3 linked regions of the Caenorhabditis elegans genome follow. The protein of the gene in region 1 interacts with the protein of each later gene in a pairwise test. Each region holds a gene or a part of one and is shown on either strand. Other genes may lie near its edges. The genes, in order: gst-39, pkc-2 and bra-1.

Region 1 (8,596 bases):
AAATTTAATTCCGCAATTTTCCGGTTTCCGATTTGCCGGAGGTTTTTAATTCCGACAATTTGCAGATTTGCCGATTTGCCGAAAATTTCAATTCCGGCAATTTTCTGGTTTGCCGATTTGCCAGAAGTTTTCAATTCCGGCAATTTGTAGATTTGCCGGTTTCTCGGAAAATTTAATTCCGCAATTTTCCGGTTTCCGATTTGCCGGAGGTTTTTAATTCCGGCAATTTGCAGATTTGCCGATTTGCCGAAAATTTCAAGTCCGGCAATTTGCCAGTTTGCTGATTTGCTGGAAGTTTTCAATTCCGGCTATTTGCCTATTTGCCAGAAAAAATCGTTTTCCGCCCACCCCTGATTTGTGGTCTCGCCCGTTATTTGTCCGCGGTCCCCGCCAAAATAAAATTGTTCTAATTGTAAGTATAAAAATAGTTGCATGAATATTTCTGAATTTATTTCAATTTATTCACAAAAGAAATCCAGAAACTAAATTAATAAATAGTATCTGGTCGAATATCCACCCAGCTTTTGATTGCCGGAATTGCGTAGATCTTCTCCCTGAGAGCTGCCAATTTCGGGTGCTCCGATGCATCGAAAAAATGAACTTTCTCCAGGTTGGTAAGACTTTCCACCACGACAATATCAGCAAATGTGAGCCCATCTCCAACGAGAAATCCTGACTTGCTCTTTTCAAGGAGGTTTGTGATGATTTCAAAATACGAATCTCTAGCAGGAATTGCAACTTCTGAGGCAACTTTGGCAATTTCCACATCCGATTTTCCAGCCTTTTGTGCAAGTTTAAACTCTCTAAATAGGCTCATGAAATCTTTGAATTGGTCCACAATAGCATCTGCCCAAGCCTGCTCCTCTGGAGTTTTTCCAGCGTATCCAAATTTATTGGCAAGGTAGCGAATAATTGCAGCAGATTGTGGAATTTCAAATCCATCCACATATAGAACTGGAACTTGGCCAAATGGAGTTTCTGGAAAAAATAAAATAGTTGGAAAATTTCAGATAAATATTTGTGATTGAAAATTTCTTGGGCCCGTTTTTTGACAAATACTTCAAATAGACTGTAAATTTTCAATAAGAAATTTTTGAACAAAAATTTAGGAAGAATTTCGTTTGATCTGAACAGTATACATTATTATTATTATTGAATACGTTTATTTAAACGTGAAAATAAGAGAAAAAAAAAGAGGAAAAATTATAAATTATAAATTATATTGAATATTGTGGAATAATACAGAAAAAGTGGGAACGGGTTGAGGCTTTGTTACATAACCTTATCATTTAATAATGTGTCCAAAAAATAGGGATAAAGTCTGTGTCTGATGAACAAAAGTTAAGAATAACTGCTACATAACACTTTTAATGGCAAACGTCAACTTTCAGCACGATTAGAATTTTTTTCAAATTTTCGACTAAAATAAATAGGATTTTCAAATTGAGCAAATCTTTTCCTACATTTATATAATAATTTTAACTTAAAAAAACCGATTATCATACAACAATAGGAAGTTTTGTAATTTGAACGTTGGAAATCAAACAAGGTTTCAATATAATTTACCAATTTTGAAGTTCACCTCTAATTGTAAGAAAAACTCACTGTCTTTAAGCTTTTCCCATGTACCATCTCCATGTGGAAAACGATGATCATCAAATGGAACTCCCGCCAGATGAAAGAGGATTCGAGCTGGCTCAGCGTAGGCACGAACGTCAAAATAGGACAGTTTGTAGGTAGGCATAATTGAACTCTTAAAAGCGAAAAGTTTTGGAAATCAGATTTGACTGTCTTCTTTAAAAATGAGAAATAAAACTAAATAAAGCACTTTCCAAACACATCTTTAAAAGAAAGTGGAAAATTCCATTATAAAGTTTTAATTCCATACTGTCAACACATTAATAAAAACGAAAGACGATAACAAAATGAACTTCTTGATTTCGATTTCTCGCTGAATGTAGTGTTAGTCGTCATTTCTTTCTTATTTTGTCAACACTTGTATGTCGTATTTTATGGCCGATGTTTGGTTTCATATTGACAGTTTTCTAGAGGGCTTTGAAAATGTTGTTCAACAATACCCAATTAGTTGTTCAAAACATAATTCGGGTGTGGTTTCAACACATTGACACCTTCTTTAGATTTATGAACCTTACTAATAGTATTGTTTTGTCTTGAAAGGATATATCTCGGTTTATTTCAAAGACAATGATGAAAAATTAATTACAAAATAATAGAAAATGATATAACAAATATTTTGTTAGTTGGCAACAGGGGTGTGCGGCAAATCTCAGAATTTGCCGAGCTCGGCAAATTCGGCAAATCTATTTTTCCAATATTTGCCGAGCACGGCAAATTCGGCAAATTTGCCGTGCTTGACAAACTCGGAAAAATTTGATATTTTTTGATGTTTTTTGTGAGCACCAAAACTACTGCATTCTTAACACACAACTGGTGTATGAATAAGTTCCGTGTGGTGTGTCTGCTTAAACATGAAAATAACTCAATTTTGTGTCATTTTACCAAATTTTTGGCGCAAAAATCAACAGTTTTGGTCAAAATTGTCCTGCCAAATTTTTGACGTGTGCGGCAAATTTCGAAATTTGCCGAGCTCGGCAAATTCGGCAAATCTACTTTTTTGAAATTTGTCGAGCTCGGCAAACGGCAAACTCGGCAAATTCGGAAAATTTGCCGCACACCCCTGGTTGGCAATCTTCTGATAGAATAACCGACAGCTGAGATATATGCTCTTAAAGTGAAACAACGAGGTGCAAAAAAACTTATAGAGGAAATTCGGTATGTTACACAAAATTATTGTTTTAATATACTTTAAAATAAGGTAAGCTTGGACTACATTTCTACCGTGCCTGCCTACCGCCTATTTTTTTTCAATTTGGAGTGAACTACAACGTTTGATGTTTATATCGTGCTCTCTCTCTCCTTATTCCCTAATTTCAAATACTTTAGGCAGGCAGGCTGGAATTTTTGTGCAAGGCTCCCTAAAACAATTTCTGTTGGATTGATGTCTACCATGGGTATGAACAGTTATTTTTCGGAATATGAATATCAAAAATATTTTATTCGGTTAATAAGGATTAAAGAAACAATTCCAAAATCAGATCAAATTTAGAATTGAGTATCTGGACGAGTGGCGACCCAGGTCTTGATGGCTGGAACTGCGTGGACCTTCTCTCTGAGAGCTGACAACTTTGGATGCTCCGATGCGGTGAAGAATTGGTTCTTCTCCAACGTAGTCAAGTTCTCCACGACAACAATATCGGCGAAAGTGAGACCATCTCCAACTAGGAATCCAGACTTACTCTTCTCAAGAAGCCCATTGAGAATCTTAAAGTACGAATCTCTAGCTGGAATGGCGACTTCTGACGATATTTTTGCGATCTCTTCGGCAGGCTTTCCGGAGCGTTGAGCCATGATGAGCTGTCTGAATGCTCCCATGAAATCCTTGAATTGATCGACGATAGCGTCAGCCCAAGCCTGCTCCTCTGGTGTTTTTCCAGCATAACCAAATTTATTGGCAAGGTAGCGGATGATTGCAGCAGATTGTGGGATGTCAAATCCATCGACAGACAGGACCGGGACTTGTCCGAATGGGGTTTCTGTAAGATTTGAGTTGTAGAAATAGCTAGCTGGTGGAAATATAAAACTAACTGTCTTTAATCTTTTCCCAGGATCCATCTCCGTGAGTGAGACGGTTATCCTCAAATGGGACTCCGGCAAGATGGAATAGAATACGAGCTGGCTCAGCGTAACCGCGGGCGTCGAAGTAGGTGAGCTTGTACAAAGGCATCTGAAATTAACTGATTATTAAGTAAGGAGTAGGGAAAGCTGTAATAAACTTAAAAGTTATGTATCAGGTTGTCCCATAAGTTTTTGTACTTTTTTTCAAATATTTTTCCAAAACTTCTAGAAAGTTTTAAAATTTTTTCATCGTAGGTCGTGTCAAGGTCGGGTCTTCCCCTTTCAGAAAAAATTCATTTCATCCATTTCTACTTTGCCACGATGACAATCATCAAACTTGAACGTCGAGACGTTAGATTGCTTCTTCTTTATGAATTTCGTCTTGGTCATTCAGCAATGGAAGCGGAACGAAACATATGCGGTGCGATGGGTGAGGGAGCACTCTCTTATAATACAGCAAAGAGTTGGTTTCAAAAGTTCAAGAACGGCGACTTCAGTCTCGAAGAAATAGAACGTTCTGGGCGACCGGTAGAGTTAAATGAAGAAGACCTAGTGAAGCTGGTGGAGGAAGAGCCTCGTCTTAGTCTTCGTGAAATGGAAGAGAAGCTTGAGTGTTGTCATAGCACAATTGCACGTCACTTGGGTCGCCTTGGTTTTACTTCAAAACTTGGAATTTGGGTGCCTCATGAACTTTCGGCATCACAGAAGCTCACTCGGGTCAACGTTTGTACTCAACTTCTAACTTTTCGTCGAAAGTTCGATTGGCTGAACAATCTGGTTACTGGAGATGAGAAGTGGGTGCTCTATGTTAACCATTCCAGAAAACGTCAATGGCTTCCGATCGGTGAGAAAGGAATACCGACGCCAAAGCCTGATCTTCACCCAAAAAAGATTATGATCTGTGTCTGGTGGGGTGTTCAAGGACCCGTGCACTGGGAATTGTTGCCAACTAATAAAACTATCACTGCTGATTACTATTGTGCCCAATTGGACCGAGTTGCAGAAAAGACCAACGGAAAATATGAAAAACTATATTTTCTTCACGATAATGCTAGGCCTCATGTCGCCAAGAAGACTTTCCAAAAGCTGCAAGATCTTGGTTGGACTGTTTTACCGCATCCACCATATTCTCCAGATCTTGCACCAACCGACTACCATTTGTTCTTGTCTCTCAGTGACTACATGCGCGACAAGCAATTCGACGACGAAGAGCATCTCAAAACTGAACTCTCCACTTTCTTCTCATCGCGTTCGCCGGATTTCTTCTCCCGTGGCATCATGATGTTACCTAGTAAATGGCAACAAGTGGTGGACACTAATGGTGAATACTTGTGTGAATAGTACTACTTGTCGCTTGAGAGAAATAAATTTTTTTCAAAAAAAAAATAGTACAAAAACTTATGGGACAACCTGATATATCAATTTCTGCTTTCACAGAGAAAAATGGGAAGGTTTTGACAAACAATCATTCAATGCAGGTGTATATATACTACTCTCCCAATCCCTGCGTCTCTCACCGTCTTCCCGATTTCCCCTTTTTCTCGCACATGCTGTGTCTAGCTGCCGATGTTTGGTTCTAATTATTTCGCAACGAGCCTCGACGCGAGCTCAAAAAGGATCACCGTTTTCGCCCATTTGTCAGCATTTTCGAGCAGAAGATTTTGTGTCTAAATGTGATTTGAAAGCATAAAATTGTTCAGATTTATCAGATAAGCATGTGATTGGGGAAGAAGCTTCACATTTATCATTATCATTGAAACAAAAGGACACGGGAATAAGAATTTTCGTGTGATCTAGAAAGGGAAGTTAATTTGCGAATTGTTCATCAAGAACCTTGCAGCATTGGCATTTTGGGCGCACGATGCACACATTTACAGCGTTTTTTTTAAATTGTGATTTTTTTTTCAAAATTCTAACTAATTGCAAGTAAGTTTCATTAGATAAACTTCAATAGTTTTCTAGTTAACACGAGCTGCATACTTCAAGACAGGGGTGGGGCAAATTCGGCAAATTTTTTTTCAGCTTTTGGCTTGTCGACTTGCCAAAAATTTTCTATTCCGGCAACTTACGTATTTGCCGAATTGCCGAAAATGTTTAATTCCGGCAATTTACCGACTTGCCGGTTGCCGGATATAAAGTTGCCGGAAATTTTTAGAGGACTTTTTTAAGCAACGGAAACACTTCTGAATTTTCCAAAAGAAAATGTGCAAAACCACAAAAGGCAACTCGGCAATTCGGCAATTTACCGACTTGCCGATTTGCCGGAAATTTTTAACTCCGGCAATTTGCAAATTTGCCGATTTGCCGGAAATTTTTAACTCCGGCAATTGCTGATTTGCCGGAAAAAATCGTTTGCCGCCCACCCATGGTTCAAGATTTATTGTCCGAAGTGTAGAGAACCTAGTAGCTTTTGAGAACACTGATGTATGAAATCAAGGAATTTTATTGTAAAAAATTGTTTTTCAAAATTTAATACTGAGTATCTGGACGAGCCTCGACCCATTTCTTGATGGCTGGAATCGCGTAGACCTTCTCTCTGAGAGCTGCCAGTTCTGGATATTTCGAAGCTTCAAAGAGCTGATTCTTCTGCAACGTGGTCAAATTCTCCACGACAACAATATCGGCGAATGTGATTCCATCACCAACAAGGAAACCTGACTTGTTCTTCTCAAGGATCCTTGTGATGATTTTGAAGTAAGCATCTCTGCCAGGGACGAATCCTTCATTTATAAGCTGTGACACTTCCTCTTCTGTCTTTCCAACACGTTTTGCCACTACAATATCTTTAAATGGAACTGCCATAAAGTCTCTGACTTGATCACAAATTGCATCAGCCCAAGCCTGCTCTTCCGGGGTTTTCCCAGCGTATCCGAATTTGGTTGCAAGGTAGCGGATGATTGCAGTAGATTGAGGAATTTCAAATCCATTGATGTTCAGAACAGGTACTTGACCAAATGGAGTTTCTGAAATATAACATTAGAAGATGATAACATGAAAATTCACTTACTATCCTTAATCTGCTCCCAAGTACCATCTCCATGGATGATTCGGATGTCTTCAAATGGGACCCCCGCAAGATGGAAGAGAATGCGAGCCGGTTCGGCGTAGAATCGAGAGTTGAAGTAGGTCAGCTTGTAGGTTGGCATAGTGGTTTCACTGAAACTATAAGTTATATGTTAACTTTCAGGCTTAAAAGAGATATTAGAGACTTTTTTTTTTGAAAAAAACCAAGGTTGGGAATATTGTTAGTGTTACTTTAGACGCAATTAACATTCAGAAAAAGCGGAAAAATGTTATATAGAAAATTGTGATGCTACAGTTTTATTTAAAAAAAACATTTAAAATTTAAAATTTCAGTTGGTTAAATGACAATGGTTTTTTATAAACTTGTCAATTCAAAAACTCAACTTATAAGAAAAACTTCCAAAAATACACACCGCTCTCCAAAAACCCTCCTCCTCCACTCTGCGTCTCATACTTTGATGTTTAATCCCACTTGGTCTATTTAACAGGATGTCTAATTCTCTAGTAGTAATTTCCTTTCACTCGATGTTTGTCAGCATTTTCCAGAAACTTTCGTGACAAAATGTGGTTTGTGGTGTGACGGAAAACATGTAAAAATTTACTTGAAGCCATTTTAACCGAGGGATTCATTTTTTAAATTCACGTGTTAATTTGAAAAGTAAATATCATGAGAGTAGACATAGGTTTAGGCTTAGGCTTAGGTCTAGGCTTAGGCTTAGGCTTAGGCTTAGACTGGGCAGATGTGAGAAAGAGAGAATAAAGAAATCCCAGAAAATTCAAGAATTCAGAAAACTCTTCTGTTTAGGATTTTGAAATTCATCTAGCTCAATTTAAAGATCACGGTATTAATAAATCTTATTTCCACCATTAGTCATGCATGCAAGACGAATTTTTAAGTGGCTTGTTGAGGTTCAAGCCAAATGGAGCCTGCAAGACTAAGTTCCGACTGGCTCGCACAAGTTGTATCAAACGGATGAGCTCCCAGATCCTGCACTGATGCAGACTATACTCCAAATGTACATTTATTTAGTCAGTAAAATATATTCTGAATATTAAATAAATTAATTTTACGTGAACTTTTTCTCTTAAAAAACTATTATTCTGCGATTCTGAATTTATTACTCCAATACTCACACCTTCCTCTCTTCTTCCAATCAACTAATGTGCGTTCCAAAATCAGGATTGTGTACAACGCGGAGGTATTACGAATGGAATCAAGAGTTTAAGTTCAGTAAAGTTTAGTGAAAAAAATTTAGATCTCGAGACGCAATAAATAATCCACTGAGTTATGAACATTCTGAACATTGGAACAAGATGGCGAATTCTAATTTCCGATCGGAGGTTTTTGAGGTATGAATGTAGTATTTAATGAAATCTTATAGTTTGAAATTTTGCTTTAAATTATAAAAATTAAAAGAAATTCTAATATTTTTAAATTAAAAGTTATATGTATCTGTTAATTACGGCCCATTTTCTATCATTCAAAGCAAAATTTCAAAACTTAAAAAGGCGGTCAGTCAAGACCAGAAACAAATTTTTTGCACAAAAACCTAAAAACTTCGCGTCAGCGAAATAATTAAGTAAGTTCAGAATCGTGTCCATGTGTGGGTACTTCCATTGAGCCTGTCGCAATCATATTATGGTGACCGGGATAGTAACTCATCTGCTTGCACATTAATCACTGTTCAGATAGCTCACGACTTTTTGAGGTTTGTAAAAGTTTAGTGGCGTCGAAAAATAAACAATTCTTTTAGCCAAAACATCTCTATTCCATCTCCAAATTCTTTGAAACCTCAAGATCTTCCACTCGGAGTCCTCGGCGTTCTTATCAACGGAATAGTTGATGGGAATGAAACTCACGAAAAGGCTATGGCAG
Region 2 (13,780 bases), on another chromosome or scaffold:
TTAGAATTAAACATACCTGAAAAAGAGTGATTTAAAGAAAAAAAACAGCTGCGTTACATGAGTTTTCGTTGTTTTTTTTCTCTTAAAGCCTACTACTGCATCGTATGTCTTGCTATAAATATACATAAGGATGGCATTCATTTGTATTCCGTAAGAAAAAAAAAGAAAAAAAAGAAAAATAACTCGGCTCTCACATTTTCGTCGGGTTTTTTCTAGCTTTTCTGTTCACCGCTTTGACAAATTTGAATTTTTTTTGAATTCTTTCTCTCAGTTTTAAATTTTCACATTTGGAGAATTCTCACTATTCTCATAATTTTCCAGTATCTCAGCTTATACATGTCGTTCCTACTTGATGTTTTGGACAAGAGGGGTTTTCTTGGATTATGTACGAGAAACAAAAAAATGTGCGAAATATGAGAAACCAAAAAAACACAAAGATTTTGAAATAAAAGTAACGATCAAAGTATATTCTCATATGTTTTAAAAATTGTTATTACTGAAAAAAGAAAAATACAACTTAAGTATAAAACTTATAAGCTATTAATTTTGTACTCTAGTTTTAATTTTTTCCAATAATTTTGCACATTCTCAAACACTTTTGAGAAGATTTTTCAGTTAAGAAACAATCGAAATATAAAATAATTGAAAAATTAAATTGATACTACATAGCGTTTAAAAACTATTTTGTTTTTTAGGATTTGTATTTTTGAAATTTCATTTTCAAGATTTTTATTTAAATTTAATTTTTTGAAATGATAATATTTTCTAATAACTTCTTTTCACAAACTTTCCAATACTTTTTTCCAAATTCTCCTACATATTTCATGTGTGCATTGAAAAGTGGAGAAGGCAAACAGCATTTTGTCCCCACTTACTCGTCTTTCCTTTTCTAATCTGCACACTTATGGACTGATATCACAAGAATGTGGAAAATTATTTTTTTCCTGGTGAGAGAGAACTGAAGATGATTTTTGTATGGTTTCTTAGTAAGAAGATTTAAATAAAACGTGCAAATGAATACAAATGTTTTCTTCCTGGTTAATCGTTTGAGTTAAGTACTGAAAAAGCTTTATTTGGTTTTTCAAATGCGTCATCTTCTTTATTCCAAGCTTGGCTATATAAATATAGGCCGTGAAAAAGGCGAGAAAAGAAAGCAGAAGCCAAATGCAATTTGCACAAAATGTGATGAGATGGAAATCAAGATGTACTTGATTAAGATGGACAAAGGCCCAGACTGGATGAAGTGTTTTGCTTCAGGCCTACAAAATATAGCAACGGATATCTAAAAAAACATTAAGACAAAAATAACTTAATGAGTGGGTGGGAAATAAGGATCAATTATTATTGTTTTCATTCTGCCCAGTTTCAATTAAAATAGCTGAGGAGAAAATTAACTCTATTCAGAAGGTAGGCGTTTGAATGAGCTGAATTTTGTTAAATTGCCTATTTGCAAACCTTTTTAGAACAATAATTCCCAGTCATATTTTTATAGATTAAAATTTTTTTAAACTCTCCCATGAGATATGTCAGCGGATTGTTCCCTCCTACCAGGGCTGTGCTCTAAGTTTTTCTGAGTTTTTTTTTTTTTTGGTGGGACCAGCCGACAGCCGACACCCAAATTAGAGTTTTCGGCTTTCGTTTTGAAAAAAATTAACTCTTTTTGACATATTTAACACTAGGTGCAAGTTCTACAAGTGGAAAAAATAAGGAAATTTGGGTTTTTGTTACATAAAATGATAAAATATTTTGCTATAATTTGTTTTTTTACTAAAAGTATACTAAATAACTTCGAAACTTTTAAACAATACTTAGCCAAAAATTCCAGTCGGCTGGTGGCGCCAGCCGACAGCCGAAAAAAGTAGCCAACCGCACAGCCCTACCTCCTACCTGTGCATAGAAATAAAATTTTTAGCAGCGAGTGGTTTCGATCCACCGACCTCTGGGTTATGGGCCCAGCACGCTTCCACTGCGCCACGCTGCTCTTGTTTGACAGCAACAAACTAGCGGTCGATGAAACGAGCGTGTAGTGTTGCAAAGTTGGCCGCAACAAGAAAGAAACAAAAAAGAACGAAACTGCGAGATATAAAAAAGTAACTCACAAGGGGATTGCCTATAAAAAGTTTGCGGTCGATGATGATGAGTTGCCGGAAATATGGTCCATACAAGCAAGAGTCTGCTCATCTGGGGGTAGATGAAAGCATAGAAGTTTTTCAATGTTCATCCGGTTCACTGCCCTCTATGATGTAATAAGTGGTGCGCTCTTTGTTGTTTTCAATGTGATGAGAGCACAAATAACAACAGTTGAAAAACGAAGAAAAAAAAAGATTTTCGTCTGAATTTACATCTGAGTAACTGATTTTTCCTACACCTCGATAAAACACGTCTAGCAAATTTAGTTTTTAAGTTTTTGCAGGCGCCCTTTCTTTATAATTTTTTGTTTCAAAAAAAAACATTCTTTGTTCTCATTCTCATTTCTCACTTTTTGCTGTAGATTCTCACAAACTACTTGTCCGTGTTTTCTCTTCTTTATTCGTTGCATCTTGAAAAGTTGAGGTTTTCTACGTAATATCTTGAGTTGAAGTGACAGGGAGAAGGATCCTTGCTATCTATCTCTTATTCTATGCGTGATTTGATTGTAGGGCCGTTTGACCATGTGCTCGTGAAGAAGTCCGTTAAAAGAAGAGGGCTATAACTTAGTTGCCTTTTACTCTTCTTCTCATACTTCACTTTTGCTTCTTTTTGTCAACAGCTTCTGCTTCTTATTTGGCTTATTTTCTTATTTTCTTCTCTTCTTTTGATTGGAAAATCTCACGTTGAAATTTATTTTTCTATGAAAAAACGATTTTCCGAAAAAATTAGGCATTTTCAGTTCTTCGTTCTTAGTACCTTACCTCGCATGATTTGCTTAAATATTACCCAGGTTTCACAAGTTTCTCTATTCCCTTTTCCCTAAGTTTTTCTTACTGAATAATGTATAAGAATGTGTACGTGTAGTCGATTTTCTAATTCATCGTGTGCTTAAAAACTTGAACTAGTAATAAAATATCAAGTCCCTAAGAAAACAGCAAAATTCAAATTTCTTCACTTGTCTTTGCACCCGACAAATACCGGATGATCCCCTAGTTCAAAGACTTCCCCACACTCTTCTTTTCTGCTAAAAATAGCCAATAACTGCGCACTTATTATAATATCCAAGGCGCACAAGCACTGAAATATCCTCCTTATCAGTGGTGAACAGTGGATTAATTCTAGATTGAGAGCTCAAAAATTAGTTTTGGGAACAAAGCTACAAAAAGTTACGTATTTTGTGAAATTAAAATATTTCTTCTTGAGTTAAAATTATTATTGCCATAATAATCATACTTGAGAGTAATAATTTCTACGCAAGACTTGATCAGCCAGCCAGCTTATAAAAGTTTAATAGTGAATCAATCTATCGTCTTATTCCTCATATTATTTTTTTTTAATTTTTTTGTAAAAATATGTTTCTAAAATTATATTAGGTCTCCAAATAAGTTCCGGGTCAAAAATCATTTTTAAAAAATCCGTCCAAAAAAATTTTTTTGGTTGGTCGTCAAAAAATCTTCGAAAAATCTAGATTTTTCCTACAAAAATGATGTAACCAATTATAAACTATTTTTACACATGCAAAAAATTTTATTATATTTTATGTTATCATTTTAGTGTGACAAACTAAACCCAAATGTTTTGTATGTGTAAAAGTAATTTACACTTGGTTACATCTTTCTTGTAGGAAAAATATAGAATTTTCGACAAAAAGTTTTTTGAAGATTTTTTGACGATCAAATTAAAAAATTTTTTTTTTGGACGGATTTTTTCTAAACTTTTGTTGTTTTCTAAAAATGTATTCTAAACAAAGCAAAATCCGCACACAAACCTCAATTCAAAGCTGAAAAGAAGCGAGATCAGAAAAATGCCTGAAAAAATTGCCTCCGAGTTAGGACACTTGGGGTGGTAAAAAATTTTTGTGACTATTGTCAAATGAAAGATCATGGTTGGTAACATACATCCCAAAGTTTCATAAAAATCGATACGCAGCGAACAAAGTTATGATTTTTGACCCGGAACTTATTTGGAGACCTAATAGTACTTGTGATACTAAATATAAATAAAATTATAGTACTTGTGACACTAAATATAAAAATATATAAATTCATAAACCTGCTGTTTTTATTCAGTTTCAAATAAGTATTCGAAAAAAAAGAACTTAGTTGAAAATGTCCAATTAATAGCGTGAAAAGCATTATTTTCCTGAAAGCTCATATTAGCTTTTGTTTCTTTTTGCGAATTAAATCTACCGGCAAAAAAATATTTGAAAATTTACAACCTTGATATATTTGCATAATTTTCAAGATTGTAAATAGTTTTGTCAGAAACAAACAGTTTTTGTCATCATCTTACATTCTTGGAATCAAAAAAATTGGATGAGGAAACCAAATGCCTGAGAGCAACAGCTGAAAAGTTTTGCCCTTGTGCTCAAACACACAAGAAAATAATGAGCGAGAAGCTATTGGAAACCTGATCCGTGTCCCGTTTTTTTTCCTATCCTCGTTCTCAATTCAGGAAAAAAACTAGAGGCAAGGCTTCTTCTGTTTCTCCTTCTATGTGCTTCTTCGATTGACTTGAAAGGTGTGAAGTATGTAAACTTGACCCAAAAATTTAGCTTATAAAAAAGAAGCTCAAAAGAAGGAAAAACGGCTCAGCTTTATCGCTGCTGTCGCTTCGTTCTTCTCACGGACGTACGTGTGTATGTGCGTATGTTTATAAGCTTCTTGGCTTAGAGGATATCGGAGGCGGAGACTATGTCTGGATTTGATACTTGTGCACCGCTTTTTAATTGGGCAATATGATACTCGCCACAAATCCGGGAAGCTCCTCCAACAGCTAACCAGGAGAGAAAAAGGAAGACGTGTAGTGGTTTTACCTCCGGCCATCTGATATTATTCTCTTCTAGAGTTCCATTTACTAAATATTTGAACTACTGATATTCTTACTCATAAACTTTTAAAATGAGCCTACGACCAAAGCAAAAGTCATCATCCACTTCGGTGTTCTTAAAGTCTCACAAGTTTTCGTTAACATCTCATATTTTAAGGTAAATATTTCTTTCACGTTTTCTGTTTCTGGTTAAATTAATTATTGTGTTGACGTTCAAAATTCTTGCCAATTCTTACCTCCCTGCATTAGTTTGTGTTATTCCATTCATCCCTTCATCATACCTCCTCCCATCTGCGATTTTCATTAAACCATTGTAAAAGATTTATTCTGGTGAAGGAAGGCAAAAAAGCGCGAGACGATGGATAGTGCAGAGCGTCGACGATCCGAGACCGATATTGGTGGTGGTCCCAGAAATAGCGCTGATGCTCGGCCGAGCCTCGATCTGTCGTCCGATCCTATGCTCGAGTCGAATCTTGCACTTCGTAAACTATCTGAAGCTTTCGGTAAGTCGTCAAAACTATTCAGTAGCATAGAAAAAAACACAAGTCCTTTGTATCCCTCTAATTTGTATTCTGACGTTTCATGTGGTTCTCAGGCGAGTGGTGTTTAGTACACACATGGGATAGGGCCCATTTTGGCGTGAAGAATGTAGTTAGGGGAAGTAATTTTTTAAAAATTATGAATTAAATCAATTAACTCTAAAAACATGTTCAAAACCTTCATCACTGATATTCTACATATTATGATTTTTTACCGTTTGCAGTTCATATTTCTTGTGTTTAACAATTTTACCGGTAGACGCAGGGTGACATCCTATATTATCAAATATGAAAAAGTAGTGTTAAAAATATTTGGAAGGTTTCTGTTTACCAAGATTATTTTTATTCAGGTTTGAGAAGAAGCAAAGTCTGAAAGTAAAGCCCTTTTCAACGGACTCATTATTTGAATATGATCTACAAAATATTATATTTTTCACTGTAGTTAGTAATGGTTAGCATATCTGTGTTAGTACGTGATTCTGATAACTTTGTAGTTGTTTCCGCAATTTCTCTCGCACTTTGAAAAACTATCTAATTAAAAGCACAACTGGGCAGCTGTGGCAGTTTTTTGAAAACTAGGTTCCTTTCTATCATCTTCACTCCCTATCTGTCAAAAATGCCCATTGATGAATCATTCAATTAAAATGTCCATAGTCGATTAACTGAGAAATCTGTTGCCATTTGCCTAAAATTGACGTCAGAAAACGCATTCAGAAAAAAAGGCGGTTGTCTGAAAAAAAGCTTCCATGTGACTGCTTCATTTTAAACTTTTTTGTTTGCTCTTTTCAATCGCAAGTGAGCCAAAATAGAATTAAACATCTCAGGGAAAAAACGACTAAATATAAAATTAGAAATTAGAATTGGGACATCACAATACATACCAACGCATTGGCATTGCAAAAAAACAAAAACCAGTTTCCTTTTGTCATTGATCTTCCAATTGACATTGATTGTATTTTAAGTTTCGAGAAAAAATTCTTTAGAATTTGAACATCATATGTTTTCCTTAAATTTTCATGAACAAATTTATCTTATGACTAAAGTTAATGTTTTTCAACATAGTGGTAGACTTAATTTGGAACAATGCTATGTATTAATTTGAGGAATTGTTAAAGATAAGAATGGATGTTGTAAAAACGCCAAAACAAAAAAGTGATGATAAACATAGTATGATAAACGTTTGATTAAACTTTTTTAATATGCAATTTCAACCATAATTTTTCGGAATGTTTTGTTATGATATTTAGCAATGTTGAACTATTAAAAATACGGGGTTAGGGTACTCCTCTTTTGAAGTTTTTAAGCTGGCTGATAGCGGGTATGAATTAAGGTATCGTTAAAAGAACATTAAATTCGCCGAACAGCTACACGGAAAACTTGAAAATTTATAAATTAATGTATTCTACCTTATATTAATCTCTAGTATCTAGTGCATTTATGAACACCTCCGCATTCTGTCATATGCCCATTTTAAAATTTCAGAAGTTAATTATCCAAATAATTCATAGTTTAATCGGCAACAAACATCGCACAATCGCCTTTTCACCGACATAATTTGTTTTTCTTCGCGTCTTTTTTACGAGACTGATCTTTTAAGTTCACATAATTTTACAAACGGGTATTTTTGATTTTGATAGTATGGAATTTTTTAAAGATGGGTTCAAAATCAGGCCACTCAGTCTTTTTGCAAAATTGCAACCAGATTGAATAAAAATCAGATTAGGGATCAAGAATTACAGGAAATAGGTGGGCGGAGTCAATCACGCACCAAGAAAAAACACAGGAGAAATGGAAATTGGAATGGGGGTGGGGTGGATGCGGCATCCATTGATGAGGAGTGAAACGGCGGCGGGGGCCTGTGGTCCCAACCCAAATTGTTCTATTTTTCATGTGCAGAACGACGCCATCAGCCTCGGCTTTTCATTTGCTAGGGTAGTCGTCGCTGCTTCTTCTCATTTCGGGACCTTAACCGAAAAAACGGGAGAAACGAGAGAAAACCTCCGTTTTTTTTCACGTTTGCTCACCGCCTCTAACTCATTTAGCTATCATCTGCTACCCTTTTCAAGCCCCGCCACCAAACGTCAGAAGCTCATTTGAAACATTTTATTAATTTTAATCTTGTACCACTTCATGGAAGTTCCACAAGCACAGTCTTTAGCGGCGGCTGCTCTAATCAGCCCTGTGAAAAACAATTCCACTGGTGGAGGTGGGAATCAACAACTTTGTATTCGAAAGTCTATATCAAACCCTTCTAGTCTAAAGGTTTACGCCCATCACGAGGCACCCGGTATCATACATTTTCCTAGATTTGAATTTTCTCATCGTCTATCTATCCGGCCATTGCTGAAAAGGCTTCACGAACAAGGTGAGCTATTCTACAAAACCTCCCAATTTGCTTCCTTTTTTGAAATTGATTACCAATGAAACACTTTTGAAACTGGCTTGGTATTGTTAGACGGAAATTTTGTTTGAAATCAGTGAGCAATATTTTTTAAAAAAAGTTTCTGAAGATACAGGTCCTAGTTGAAAAAAGGTCAAAACAATGTGAAGAGGGATTTGTTTTTCATCAGAAAATGTTTATTTTTATTAAGTACTATAAAACATTTGTTAGTTTATGTTTTTGAAATCTGACAGTATAAAAAGCCAATATAAAAATTAATATTGCAAATTATCCATGCAAAGTTAGCCCAACAAATAAATGTAGCTTTTCTCATTATGATTTTTTATTGATTTCTAAAATTTTTTAATATAAATTGCATTAACAGCAATCTTGTAAACAAAACAAACATAGTAGTGAAATTCCATTAAAATTCTTCCGTTCTTAAGAAAACAATAAATGGCAAAAAGTTTCTGAGGACCTCCAAGACAAAAGCATCTTCTGCCCGCATGTCCTATGACTATTGAAAAAGGGCGAAAATAAAAAAGTGACACAACCCAGTGTTTCCTGATAAAAATTGTTCATACCCTCCCATTTTCCCCTATTTCGCTTCCCACCATTCCCATGAAACGCGCATTTACGATTGTAAAAAACTTGCGACGTCGAATTTGTAGGTTTCTTGTTTTTTATGTTTTCAAGAGTAATCATTTTGTTCTTTAAAACATGCAAAAATAAAGTTAATCCTTAAAATGACCTCACGACACGGAAGCCAAACCCCATTTCATTTCAAAGTTTGCAACTATAGAAAACGAATACAAAAGGAGGGAGGGGAGGTTACACTAAGAAATAAAATGGTGGGGAAGATATAATTGCGCGGGGCTCGGAGAGCAAAACTCACCTATTTGATTCCCTTTTTCATGTTTGTCTTCGTTTCAGCTCAACGGATCGAAGGAAAAGCATTTGTTCGTCGTGGTGCACTTCGCCAGAAAAATGTGCATGAAATCAAGTGAGTTGATACCAAACTTTGAAACAAAACCCTCGTAAAAGTCAGCACTGTCCGTTTTCCTATCTTGGTTATTTGATAGCTGACATTTATTTTGACTGAAAAATTGAAAAAAAAAATTCTTTCATTATCTTTGAATATCATAGGTCTTTCAAATGAAAACAAAAATCAATATCTTGTTCTTGTTGCACAATTTTGATTCAAAGTTTAATTCTTATCAGATCGCACAAATTCATTGCAAGGTTTTTCAAACAGCCAACGTTCTGCTCACATTGCAAAGATTTCTTGTGGGGTATAACAAAACAGGGATTTCAGTGCCAAGGTAATTTATTGGAAATTTTATTTGATATTAATAATTATTTTCTTCTTAATTTGTATCCAATGCAATTCGAAACAAATGTTTATAAATCATAAAATGCGACTATAAAACAAGTTTGATAGATAAAGAGAACTCTGTTTTCAGTATGTACCCTTGTGGTACACAAGAGGTGTCACGAGTTTGTCAATTTCGCATGTCCAGGAGCAGATAAAGGAGTAGATACCGATGTAAGTTGTGCACTCTATCTTCTTTTTCTCTTCTTTTTTTATGACATCCATTCCTCAAACTTTTAATTTCAGGATCCTCGCCAGCAGCATAAATGGAAAGTTCAAACATACTCATCGCCGACGTTTTGCGATCATTGTGGCTCTTTGCTCTACGGTATTCTGCACCAAGGCATGAAGTGCCAATCTTGTGACACAAATGTGCATCACCGATGCGTCAAGAATGTGCCGAACATGTGTGGTACCGACAATACAGAGAAGAGAGGTAGACTACGAATTGAAGCACACATCGAGAATGATCAGTTAACCATTAAAAGTGAGTGGGGTGCAACGCAGGAAATTAAATGGAAATAGACAAAAAGATTGAAAGAATTGAACTTACGTTGTTCAATGATTCTCAGGAAAATAAATATTTTCATCAAAACTGCTAGAGTGTATAATTATCTTGATACACAACATTTGTTTTACAGTTCTGGAGGCGAAAAACTTGATTCCAATGGACCCCAATGGATTGTCTGACCCTTATGTGAAGTGCAAACTGATTCCGGAGGATTCGGGATGCAAGTCAAAACAGAAAACTAAAACATTGAGAGCTACTCTTAACCCTCAATGGAATGAAACTTTTACTTAGTAAGTCATTGTAACACTTTATTTAAAAATAAAACTTGGGTTTCAGTAAACTGCTACCAGGAGATAAGGATCGGCGGCTTTCTATTGAAGTTTGGGACTGGGATCGTACATCTCGAAATGACTTCATGGGAAGCTTGTCGTTTGGTATTTCAGAACTTATGAAGGAAGCAGCGTCCGGTTGGTACAAACTGCTCAGTGCGGAAGAAGGAGAATTCTACAATATCAACATCACACCTGAATACGACGAAGATATGGAAAAAGTGCGCAAGAAGATGAATGAAAACTTTGTAAGTATAAGTTCTAATGCAATTAGGTGTCTTTTATCGTTTTAGATCACACGAGACAACAGTTCTTCTAAGCCAAAAGACCCGGCTGCCCCAAGAGCTAGTACACTTCCTCTCGGCAGTTCCAATCACAACGTGATCAAGGCTTCTGACTTTAATTTCCTCACTGTTCTTGGAAAAGGATCGTTTGGAAAAGTGTTGCTTGGCGAACAAAAAACAACAAAAGAGCTGTTTGCGATCAAAGTGCTCAAGAAAGATGTGATTATTCAAGACGATGACGTGGAATGCACAATGACTGAGAAGCGCGTCCTTGCTCTTCCGGAAAAACCATCATTCCTTGTTGCTCTGCATTCGTGCTTCCAGACCATGGTCAGTGCGCATAACAGATTTATTGAAAAAAAGGGATCAAACATGTGGAAGTATTTAGATGTTAATAGATGTTCGAATTTGTAATACATTGTTGACATTCATCCACGTGTTTTTCCCTAGGTTATTGCAAATTATTCTGTAACAGTAAGTATGACATTGAAAATAATAATTGTTGGATAGATGGAATATAATATACATAAGTCCTGAAGGCACTTATTTTTGAATGAAAACTCTTCAAACCCCCAATCAAATCCGTATTTTGATGAATCTCTGTTTCAGGACCGTTTGTATTTCGTGATGGAATTTGTAAATGGTGGTGATCTGATGTATCAAATCCAGCAAGTTGGGAAATTCAAAGAACCAGTTGCTGTTTTCTACGCTGCTGAAATTGCCGTCGGTCTGTTTTTCCTTCACTCAAAAGGTATCATCTACAGAGACTTGAAATTGGATAATGTTATGCTCGAACGAGACGGGCATATAAAGGTATTCCGATTTGCTCAACTGTTTTTCAAACTATAGATTCATATTTAGATCACCGATTTTGGAATGTGCAAGGAAAACATATTCGGAGACGCCACGACAAAAACATTCTGTGGAACTCCGGACTACATTGCTCCTGAGATTATTCTATATCAGCCTTATGGAAAATCTGTGGATTGGTGGGCTTATGGTGTCCTACTATTTGAAATGCTTGCAGGACAACCACCATTTGATGGAGAAGACGAAGATGAACTTTTCACAGGTAATTTGAATCCCATATGGTTTTAAAATAAAATTGTTAAAACTCAGCTATCACCGAGCATAATGTGTCCTACCCGAAAAGTCTATCCAAAGAAGCTGTGTCTTTGTGCAAAGCATTGCTCATCAAAAATCCATCAAAACGATTGGGATGTACTGGAGACGATGAATCAGCGAGTAGAGATATTAAGGTAATGAAAATGAAATTATTAAACTCAGGTGGCCGTTGGTTAGTTTTATTTGCTTCAAATTTGTTTCGCCACATTGGCTTAGACAAACTCTTGATCTTGAAAAATTAATATTTCATATTACCACCTAAAACAAATTTCAGGAACATCCATTCTTCCGCCGCATTGATTGGTTCAAAATTGAGACTCGTCAAATCCAACCACCATTCAAGCCAAAACTGGTTCGTTCTTTTTTGTTTCAGGGATTTAATATGAAATGGGGCTGCTTAACAGTTTAGCTATACCGGTTGTCTAATATGTTTTAAACTTTATTGGGTATGAGTCAATGAGTTTATTTGTTTTTCCTATCTGCTTTCAACGATTCCCAATGCTTTACCAGAATACTATCGCTTTATTAAAATGATTCAATTCAACATCAGTTGTTTTTGATGTTCGAGAAAAATTAAATTACATCAAACATTTAATTGTTGGAACGTTTCGCATGTTGTTATACATTACTTCGAAAGCATGACACCCATGAATGTATCTAACCCTACTCACAGCTTACATCCCACTGCTCTTCCTGGCATGTTATTATCGTTGTGAATTTTTTCAGAAGACCGATAGGTCAACGGAAAACTTTGACCATTCGTTCCTCAAATTGCCCACCAAAATGACACCGCCGGATTGGGAAGTTTTGGAAAATCTCAAGGGCGACGAGTTCAGCAACTTTTCATTTGTCAACCCGTTTTATGTCAAAGATGTAGAACCGTGATCATATTATTTTTAATTATTTCTTCTCCTGGTATTCTATATATAAATACTAACCCTCTTCTAATTAACATTTCACTGTTTTTCATTTGTATCCAGTTTCATTGTAAACATTTTCACAATATATGTAGTTTATTATCGTCTGTCCGTTGGTAAATTTTTGAATTTCACAACTAAGAAAGCGTTATAAGGAAAGATGTTTTTGTGGATTGAATCTTTTGATTCAAGTGGATTTTGATTGTTCTGTTTTTCGAAAAATTTATTGAGCCAAACTAAATTTAGTTTACAGTTTGAGAAAAATGTGATCTGCAAACTAAATACTCAAATAATTGAACAGTAAAGACATGTTCATTAAAGCGCTTCTCCCCACGATTACGAAATAATTTTTACTCAGTTATTTGAACTACGGCGGACATTGAAAAAAATCCCACGAACCGAGTTATTTCTAATATACTAAAAATTGAATTTATGAATTTCAATTTTAACGATTTGCAAATTTTGAATCTCGGATCTGTTGTGAGTTTTATTTCAATTCCCGTAACTATGTTGTTTTCAATTTTTCATCTACCCCTCTCAAAACTTAACCAAACACTAGTATCCTGATGAAACTCTGAACCAAGTCAAATAAACAAAAATCACATCAAATCAATTCTGCTATTTCTAGCCATATTTTTTATGTACTATTTATTTTCTTAATTTTGCGTCCTTTTTTATTGCTTCCATATCTTTCACATCTTCAACTTACACTCTCCGCCATTCATTCCCCACTTCTATTACTATCAGCTTCTGTTTTTTTTAAATTTCTTTTTAAAAACAATTTTTCTCAGTCTCCCTATAATAAAATCAAAGTTTTGCTTGTGATTTTTCTTTTTTGAATTGATCAACACCAAATATATGTAGATTGTAATATTTGTGGTTTAATATTCTCGATATGCTGATTCTGTATAACCTCGTCGTGGATTGGTGTTCACTAACCAGGTATGTCGTCATTTCACCTTGTTCTTCCCTACAGTTCACCCGTCTTTTTTAATGAAAAAAAAAGGATGATTTGAGTATTTGCATGCGTTTTTAATAGTTCATAGATAATTGCATTTTTATCAACCACATCGGATATGGTAGTTTTATTACATTAATCTAAAAAATGTTAACTGTTTGGAAATGGGAAAATGTGCAAACAAATATGAACATTAGACTGACTTATTACAAAAATAAATGAAAAAAAAGCAACTCATAAAAAAACAATAAAATGAAACAAGCCGATATTTTTAAAATCACGAGTCTTTTTTTAAGTTATTGGTCCAAAAGTTTATTTAAAGGTGTTTCCTATTAGAGATGGAATAAATTATAATATTGAAAAATTAATACGAGATCATATTAGTAACACAAGAGCATTAATAAAA
Region 3 (9,130 bases), on another chromosome or scaffold:
ACTGCACTCAAACCGCTGCAATGTACTTGCTCAAAGGTACTTCGGTGATGACACATTTGATCCCTGTCGAGTATCAAACCGGCATCAAACTTCCCCGTCGTTAGAAGAATTTGGTAACCGCTCTGTTGATTGATTCCAGTTTTTATTATAATCTCAGTTTGCTTTTTTGTGAGGTTTCGTTTGAAAAGTTTACAATTTCTAATCGAGCTTTTCAAAATTTCAAACAAGATCGCTAATAGTGTCTGCAGTAAAAATATTGTTAAGTTGTCTTGTTTTGTATTTTGAATAAACTTTGTTTTGTTGCTTCATTTTTATGCGCTTTTGATGTATTTGGTTGAAGTTTTGACTAAACATCGGATTTGATTTAATATTTAAAAACTTCTAATTTTCTTCATACTATCATTGTATTAAACATTTTTGTTCTGAGATTATCTGAATGTGATATTTGAGAAAGAGAATGTAAGAAAAAATAAACAAAGAAGGAACCGTGGGGAACGCGAACTGGAGTATATTTCTTGTTTATTTTTGTCTACAATCAATGATAAGTGACTCCTCGCTGAGAGTGCAAATTTTGAATGTTTTGAGCCGTTTTTTGAGCCGTTTTAAGCCGTTCTCTGGCTAGTTTTACTGATTTTCAAATAGGTTCATCAGTTTTCGGACGTTCAGCCATCTTTATATAAAGACTTTTTGGAAGACACACTTTGTTGTGAGTATCTTTCGAACACTTTTTTGAAATTAAAATTAAAAATTGCTGCATCAAGAACATGTTTTTTAATAATTTTTATGTTATTTTTGATTTTCAAAATTATTGTTTGCACAAATGGACAAATCACTTCAAATTATTTAAATTTGAAAAATAAAACTTTTTTTTTCAACATGTCTGAAACATAACTAAACATAACAAGATGTCTAAAATTTTTACATCATTGACGTTTGAACTTTTTCCCGTCTAGCTTGTACCTGTTTCTTTTTGATTTTTTTTTACCCCGTCTCTTTTTAATAGTAAGTGCAAAACGAGTGTCCGCGCGCGTTGCCCATTTTTCTTTTTACAGCCTAAAAAAAATTAAAAAACAGTCTCAATATACCAAACTTTACCATTTAAAAATCCAGAATTTTCTAAATAAATAAATATACTTTTTTTTTTAAATTTTTCAGAAATTAAAAAAATGTCTTTTGAATTTCCGCAAAAATATATAAAAGTATTTATTAACGATCGAGCTCATACTGGACAACTCATATGTGGTAAATATAGTATAAGTAAGAATAATGAAAATTGAGAAGCGTAGATAAGACAAAAGCCATTATAATAGTAAAGGGCTATAAGAAATAAGAAAAATGAGATGAAATGAGGAGAAATAAGAAGAAAAATAAAGAATATCAAAAAACATTTTTCAGTTTGAATTAAAAAAGTGAGATGTGTGGAGGCCCTGTCGGATGCCTAAAAACAGTGGAACACGGGAAAAATGAATTAATGTACATAAGTTAAACAATTAACGATTGCTGTGGTTGCTGTGGTTGTGATTGCTGTGAACAGCCTAGTTGCGTTTTACAAGAGGAACATAGTTTGGGCTTCCAGCTTCTTCACGCTGTAAGTTGTTGGTTTTTGGTATTACGTTAAAAATTATTCATCCTCACCTTGTCCGACGGGCGTTTGTTGGCTCGTGGCTTGTATTGTGGCTCTTTGTACTTGGTAGATCAGAACGTGATGTTGTGACACTTCGCTTTCTGATCATTGTAAAGAGCAGCGCAATAAGGGCACTCCACGTGAGCCATGCTGCAGTTGACGTGCACATTCGCTGTGTTGCGTACTCCGGTTTCCATACATCTGATGCACATCCTACGTTTAAAGGCTTGCTCTCTGCGAGGTAGGAACCAAGAAAACTTGAGGCAGTTTTCAGTGGCATGGTTGTTTCTCTTGCACAAGTGGCAAAACTGAAATTGTAACTTTCTAGTTTCGTTTATCAACTTTTACACTGTTACCTTTGTGACCTGCTTGACCGCTGCTGATGATGGTGGAGTGACGTTAAGTGGAGCTGCTGCGGCTACACCTTGTGTGGCGACGTTGGCGTTGATGGTGGAAATTCCATTCGCTCGATGGATTTCATCCACCTTCGTAGCAATGACGTAGAGGATTCCACGCATCTCGTGTATCATCCCGTACACTTCATCAAGCTTTTCAGCATTGAGTGCTGTTGTTTCAATCTTGGAGACAGCGTTCTTGGTGTTGTTGACATCTTCTTTCACCGTATCCATATCAGTTAGAAGCTGTTTAACTGAATGGTTGATGTTGGCGATTTCGACCAGCAGATTCGAATCTAGAATTAGCGTTTTTAATGTGAGATAATTTAACTTTAATTACTAACATTTCAACTCGTCTGCCGAACCGCTATCGCTCTTGCTCAATGAAGTTTTTGGAGCTGGTTCCTTCGGCTTGGCGGGTGGAGTTGTTGGACTGACACTATTGTGTTTTTTCTTGGCCGGTTCTGTGACGTCGCTGTCATCATTAGTAGAGACGATGATTTCATCTCCAACTACATCCGATGGGCGTTGTCTCTCCGGCATTGGCTCCACCGCTGGCATGTTGGTGTCGGTGTGCTGTTGCTGTATATTGGCACTGTCGGCTGGCGCCTGATCGGCAGTTTCCTTTGGATGCATTTTCCTGTAATTAATTATTTTAGTTATGAACAGAACTTGCGTTCTACAATTTTACAAGTTTTAGTCGTACTACGACAAGATAGGTTAAGGTAATTTTTTTTTTCATCTTGCGGAGATAGGAAAAGAAAGAATTTTTCAAACAAAAAACGCTTCGAATCAAGAGGGCGAGTGTAAAAATAATTGCGATTTTTTTCCGTCAAGAAGAGTTGAAAAGCGAAAATAATGCGACAAAATTCTGAAAAAAGCCTAATTATCGGTAATTCAAAATTAATTTAGATTTACTTTACGGAAAAATTCTGAAAAATCGACAAACCTTATTTAGGAATCGGTCTGATGAATAGTAAAGCACTTACACATTATTGAGCAAGATTTACTATTATTATCGCATCGCAAGTTGTTAAACATACTCAAACGATGTTCATTTATTCACAAATCGCAATTTCTATTCGTTTCGTTGTTGAAACTCAAACAAAGTATATTTGTTGTACAATCCGTGTAAATTTCATAGCACTCCTTCTAATTTGAATTTTTGGGTGCTTTCTGAAATAGTTTTTCAGAGAAGTTTATATTCATTTTAATTGCAGAGGTTGAATAACTCTCAATTCATTATGTCAATTCATATCTTCGTTAATTGTTTACATTTATACAATACACATCGGATGTGAAAACACGTTTGATCCCCATAAGTGTCTAGGAACATTTTCATTTTGTCATCTTTCACATTTACAGTATCCAAAAGGACATGTGTATCAAAATAAACTTTATTCACATAATTTCTTGATTATTTCTCGAAGGAATTAACACAAGTTTGAGATCTCTCCGAAATTGATCCAAATTCCTAATTAACAGGATTTATATAGAAGATCTTAAAATTGTTGTTGTCATGGGATTATAGAAAAATATTGCATGTTATTGGAGAGAAGATATACAGTAGTAACACAGAAAACGGGATGTGTGATGAGATAAACTTCGAAAACCTGACACAAGCTTTGTTACTTTTCAAAGGGCCTCCGGCTCGCAGATAGCATATTATTTAAGTTTCAATCATTGTTGACTTTGAGTAGGCTCAGCAATTGGCTGAACTGGTCCTGGGGCTCCACCGTTGCTCTTCTTTCTGCGGCAGAACTTGCGATGAATCTGCCAGTGTCCTTGTTGGCATTCAACGCTGCAATAAGCAGTGTTCCAGCAGCAATGATAGATTGCCTGAAATATGATCATGATGTTTCAGGTCTAGCGTTATTAATACAGCACTGGAGCGCAAAAGAATTATTTTCATGCTCGAAAGAAAATTAGCTTACAAATAAGATATAGTACTATGAACATTGGTATCACGACTCAGACTGATGTTAGAGATTTTGAAATATCTGGCAACACTCTACATCTTTTAAATAGAGAACCCGTCTAAATCAAAAAATCATAAAATCATAAAATCTCACCTCGCTGTTGCATTGCCAGCACCACTGCTTCTTCTTAGCGACAGCAAGTTCCCTTTGGTGTTTTTCCGACAGCTTTTCAATCTCCTCCTTGAGATTCTCCGCGTGCTTCTTCTCCAGCTCTTCCTTTGTCTGGTCGAGCTCTATCTTGAACTGAACCAACAAATCGCGACGGACTCGCTCCTGATCTTCCATGAATTCTTGATGGAGCTAAAATATAGATTTCTAAAATTAAAACTTTGGGGTGGTTGACTTACTTTTTCAGTTAGAGCAACGAGAGATTTCTCGCGGCTATCGTGATAATCCGTGAGCCATTGACGCTGAAGGTCGACAATCATTCGACGCATTTTGTCATCCACGTACAAGTCGTCGAACTGTAAAGATGATTTTTTTTAATTTTTTCCCGGTGAAAAATTTTAGTGAAAGTTGTTCTGTTATATTTTTCAAAAAAAAAAGCTCTTACCGTATTTGTTCCGTTTCCATTTTCCCCATTAACTTTTGGCGATGGTCCAGCTTCAGCTTCTTCCGACATTTCTGTAAATAACTGTGTTTCTCTGGAAAAAAATTAAATCAACTAATCAAAAATAAAAACTCTCGTCAGCACCGATATAAAAAAGAAAATAACAAAAGCGTTTAAAACCCCTCAACTCCACGCAGATACAACGATGCTCCGGAATTACGGCACTCTTGGTTTACACCAGTCTGAGCAGACGGCCGTCTGCTGTCTCGAGGTAATATTCAAATGACGACCGTAGAGAGATAGCGGAGAGGTAAAGCAAAAGAGAGAGCAGAGAGAAAGGAAATGGCAGATAATGAGCCCATGAGGCGAGTCGATATGTGGTCATGAGCCGGAGGGCGTTGCGCAGTCTAATGAAAGGATAAAGAAGAGATTATTGAGAGATGGAAGGTTCTGGTCACCTGCTCACAGACTACATTTTTTGAACAGAATGCGTTGTGACGTATCTGACTTTTTGATTTACAAAACAAAGGAAGAATTTGAATTTGTGTTTGACGCACTTAAATAAATTTCCGGGTGGATATGGAAAATTTGAGAATGAATATTTGAAAAAGAAAATCAAGAAAAAATGAGTTTTTTGAAAACGTATTCTTAGAAATTTTTCTTATAATTATAAGCCTTGTTGCTGTGCGACACAGGAAAAAATTAAAATTTTAACAAAAAACTTAAACTGGGAAAATGTTTTATTACATTTTGGAAACAAAACTGAAATCTCAAAAGATTGCCCCAAAAGCTCAGATACCCTTGGTTACGTCGTAGTTAATCATAAAATTTTTATGATTCTCGTAGGCTGAAATGGTGTATTATTGAAGCTTGAAGGGCTTCGCAAAACGGGAAATGAGATTTTGTGACTAACGGAAATTAGAGCCCAGCTAGCCGAAAATTTTGAAAAATTGAATATCAAGAGAAATATGTGGAAATTCTTGTTGGAAATTTTTAGGGATAAATATTGTTTTTTAAAACAATATTCGTTTTTTACGCACCAAATAGAAAAACAGAAGGAATGTGACAGAAATGTACAGAGAGGGTTGACTGACTTTGATTATCTTCTGGTATTTTTCCAGTTTTGCAAAGATATCTTAAGAAAACAGTATTAAAATGATTTCCAGAAGTTTCAGCGTTTTAGTAACTTTTATTAAGCAAACCTGTTAGTCGCAGAAAATCTGTCATCACACGTGATCGATGATATCTTTTTTTGTGTTCGATATCCTCAACCACGAATGCTGACTGAACACGTCTGCGAGATTTTCAAAAATATCCAGAATAAATTTTGAAGTAAGCATTGAATATCGTATATTTTCCTTCCAACGCGGCAATAGATGAGGGCGGCGGTGCACATAAAAATATCGCAAAGATGAGAACCATAAAATATTGGCGCTGCAGTTTTTTTGCAATTCGTTCTCTTTTCTTGACGCCCAAATTTGTTGGATCCTATGAAACAAAACGAAGGGTAGTAATGGGTGATAATGTACAGTTCAGTTCTACAGTTCAGAGCTCGGAAAATTCGGCAAATATCGTTTTTTAATATTTGCCGTGCTTAACAAACTAGGAAAATGTGATAATTTTTTATGTCTTTTTTATGTGAGCATTTTTTCGACTGTGGATTGCAGTTGACTAGACAATTAACTAAGTTAACTAAGTTAACTAGACTATAATTGACTTCCGAAGATACTCAAGTCGGTTGGGACAATCAGTTTTTTCTGCACTGATCTGCTTGATGTATCCTAATCGGCTTCATCTTTATCTGAGTAGGTGTGCTGCAAATTTGCCGTTTGCCGGGCTCGGCAAATTTCAAAAAAGTAGATTTGCGGAACTTTCCGAGCTCGGCTAATTATGTTAGGCCGGATCGATTTTACATGACTCATTTCCGTTGTTATCAATTTTTCTATCTGCTGAACAGGTTAACAACCATATGATAAGACGCGTAATGTGCCTATGTAATCATTTATTAAAAACAGTTTTTTGTGTACGAAAAAATTTCAAATAGAGGTGCCTGATTTTTACAAGCTGGATAAAACAGATAGTTCAAAAGTGGTATGATGTATGATGACAACGTTTATAGAATGACTTACATTGTTAGATAATTCATAAAATACTAAACTTTTTGTTTTGTTAGAAAAATGTCTTTATACGTTTAATTTCCAGAATATTTCCTGCACTTTGTGTGCTTGCCTTTTTTGCATACAATTAATTTGCTCACTGTTCACGAGTGCAAGGGACTCATGCGATACGTTTTCTTATGTTTCTCTGTGTCTCTCGTTTCACTCAATTTCTCGCACTACGTTACTCCGCTCTTCCACCCTGCTCGCAGTTTATTTGAACCATTTTCCTGATGTCATGTGTTTTGCATGACTAATTCCGCATAAACATACGTTTTTCTTGTAAATTAATAGATTAAATTATAAAATATTTTTCAGGATGGGTACTAATCAATCAAAACGACATCCACGATTTCAGTCATGCACATGGGATGAATTTTTGGCCGATATTAAGGAAATGAACCGAAAGTATGTTTTTTTGTTAGAGTCAAATTTGGTTGCAATATTTATAATTCATAATTTGAAAAATCAAATATAATTTCCAAATGTTTTAATTTCCTTAATCTTTTTGAAAATACCACTATTTTTTTTATACAGCAACAATTAAAAATTTATAAATAAAAAGGCTTTCCTTAGCGGTGTTCGAAAAATAATTTGGACATAAAGTGTGAAACAATCTTTTCGCAACATTTTTTGAAGTGTTTGCTTATGAACCCTGCACCAAAGATCGGATTCCTCGGAAGTTTCCCAAACATTACGAAATATGGCGTCACGACCTTAACTAACATTTTATTCGTTCAGTTATCGCAGTCTTCTTGTCGAAAACGAGGAGTACTTGGCCTTCGCTCTCCGGAACATTGACTATCAGCGTGAAGGATATGAAAACTGGAAGTCAGAGATTAAAATTCTCTGCTGCAAGGTGAGTAGTTTCATTGTACAAATCGAACATTGAAAAAATAAATTTTCAGGTTAATCAAATGTCGAAGCAAGTGTTAAACTACAAGGAGCTGACGTTTCGCGAGTTTCTCTCCACATATGATCTACATAAGCTGATGATCACCAACAAGGAAAGCCGTAAAAGAAGCGTGGATCCCATGTCGACTAGTCAATTCATTTTGACTCAAACGTAAGTTACACGAAGAAAAAAGTATACACTGATATCGTTATATTTGGAAAGAAAATGTATTTTAATTAAGACTGTTTCGTTAGTAAATTTTAACCTTAAAATTTTTCACAGGTCACTTCAACTTTTTTTTGCAGATCGGATGTCGAGGGTAACTGCGTGATTTGTATGGAAAACATCAACGATGTAAGTTTTCAATTTCGTATTCAAAATTAATTCATTAGTGGGTCCGTACATTTTGTATTTTGGAATCTAAAACCTTGGTAGTGCTCCTCATATTTAAAAACTTTTCTTCTACTGGTTCATTAACATGAGTTTGAGAAAATATCGATCAAGATTTCGAAATGAACAATTATGAAATCCCAAACTTGTTTACTTTGGATAATTTTAAGGCATTTTTCCGCAAATTTTTATCTGTGGATTCATATCGGTAAACTCATTTGAGCTCAAGGAATATTTCCAAAGTTCCAGTTCTCATAAAGAACATATTTGAATAAAAAACTGTAAATAGTAGATACGGAGTATTGAAAAATAAAAATAAAGATATTTTATTTATTTTTCAGTTGCTTCTCCCGTGCCTCCACGCCTTTTGCATCCGATGCATCGCCAACGAAATGGAATACCGCCACGATTTCTCATGCCCGATTTGCAAGACAAAGATCAGAAACCCCATCGAATCATCTTGGGAGGTGCCAGATGCTCCAGACCAGGCTGAAGTGAACGAGTATTTGAAGGAAATCGCCCGTGAAACTTGATCTAAACTATATTCAACTAGCTCCAAATCTCTCTCGCCTCCGCTCACTTTTCCTGTCTGATTTTTCTCACATTTCTCATTCGTTGTTTCTTGGAAAACGTTATTTTTATTTATTCCATTTATAAGTTCAAAACTTACCATAACTCCATTAACGGTTCATTGTTCATTCTCAGCCTTAGCCATTTTTTTTCCTTCTTTCTCGGTTTCGATGTGCGCCTAGCGGTTTCTTGTGAGTAGCTCACAGTCGAATATTTTTTTAGTGGGGGCAGTGCAAATTAGTTTTTTAACTGGTGTTTGGTAATTTCTGGGCACTAATGGTAGAAATTATTTTTGCACTGCCGCACTTCTCAGGTCCAAATTCCAAATGTTTCAACTCATTTTTTTTGTATTCAAATGATGTATACTTTGTTACCATGTAAATATCTGAATAAAGCACGTTCAACCTTTTTAATTATTTCAATAATCAGTACTGCATGAATCCTATTTTGTTATTTGAAATTCTTGGACAACATTGAATTGGGTACTGAAAATGCTTGCCGTGTATTCTTAGATTTACAAAAGCTGGTTTATTTTTTGAAACTTAAACTTATTTAAATTTAAAACATTGAA

What was found.
Region 2: the proteins of gst-39 (region 1) and pkc-2 interact in a two-hybrid assay, tested with the Caenorhabditis elegans proteins (one large-scale study listed by BioGRID).
Region 3: the proteins of gst-39 (region 1) and bra-1 interact in a two-hybrid assay, tested with the Caenorhabditis elegans proteins (one large-scale study listed by BioGRID).

The regions. Positions count from the first base shown.
Region 1 is NC_003280.10:15,168,106-15,176,701, forward strand, and holds gst-39 (glutathione transferase), read right to left. Parts: upstream 3,812-8,596; 5' UTR 3,806-3,811; coding exon 3,667-3,805; intron 3,615-3,666; coding exon 3,124-3,614; 3' UTR 3,058-3,123; downstream 1-3,057. Other genes in the region: gst-29 (glutathione transferase), read right to left, coding at 488-978, 1,606-1,744; gst-31 (glutathione transferase), read right to left, coding at 6,166-6,659, 6,704-6,842; Y53F4B.36 (Wsv310-like protein), read left to right, coding at 7,882-7,919, 7,977-8,070, 8,311-8,429, 8,475-8,596.
Region 2 is NC_003284.9:9,371,241-9,385,020, forward strand, and holds pkc-2 (Protein kinase C-like 2), read left to right. Parts: upstream 1-5,030; coding exon 5,031-5,116; intron 5,117-5,295; coding exon 5,296-5,462; intron 5,463-7,324; exon of another isoform or gene 7,325-7,455; intron 7,456-8,811; coding exon 8,812-8,881; intron 8,882-9,099; coding exon 9,100-9,200; intron 9,201-9,341; coding exon 9,342-9,424; intron 9,425-9,496; coding exon 9,497-9,737; intron 9,738-9,891; coding exon 9,892-10,051; intron 10,052-10,097; coding exon 10,098-10,338; intron 10,339-10,383; coding exon 10,384-10,704; intron 10,705-10,983; coding exon 10,984-11,187; intron 11,188-11,235; coding exon 11,236-11,446; intron 11,447-11,493; coding exon 11,494-11,633; intron 11,634-11,773; coding exon 11,774-11,851; intron 11,852-12,225; coding exon 12,226-12,384; 3' UTR 12,385-12,424; downstream 12,425-13,780. UniProt on the Caenorhabditis elegans protein: PKC is activated by diacylglycerol which in turn phosphorylates a range of cellular proteins. PKC also serves as the receptor for phorbol esters, a class of tumor promoters.
Region 3 is NC_003284.9:13,593,961-13,603,090, reverse strand, and holds bra-1 (MYND-type domain-containing protein), read right to left. Parts: upstream 4,643-9,130; 5' UTR 4,621-4,642; coding exon 4,552-4,620; intron 4,463-4,551; coding exon 4,346-4,462; intron 4,299-4,345; coding exon 4,092-4,298; intron 3,859-4,091; coding exon 3,700-3,858; 3' UTR 3,404-3,699; downstream 1-3,403. Other genes in the region: F54B11.8 (Yippee domain-containing protein), read left to right, coding at 1-104; F54B11.7 (CCHC-type domain-containing protein), read right to left, coding at 1,696-1,932, 1,981-2,315, 2,364-2,655; F54B11.5 (RING-type domain-containing protein), read left to right, coding at 7,024-7,112, 7,446-7,563, 7,613-7,770, 7,905-7,953, 8,331-8,522.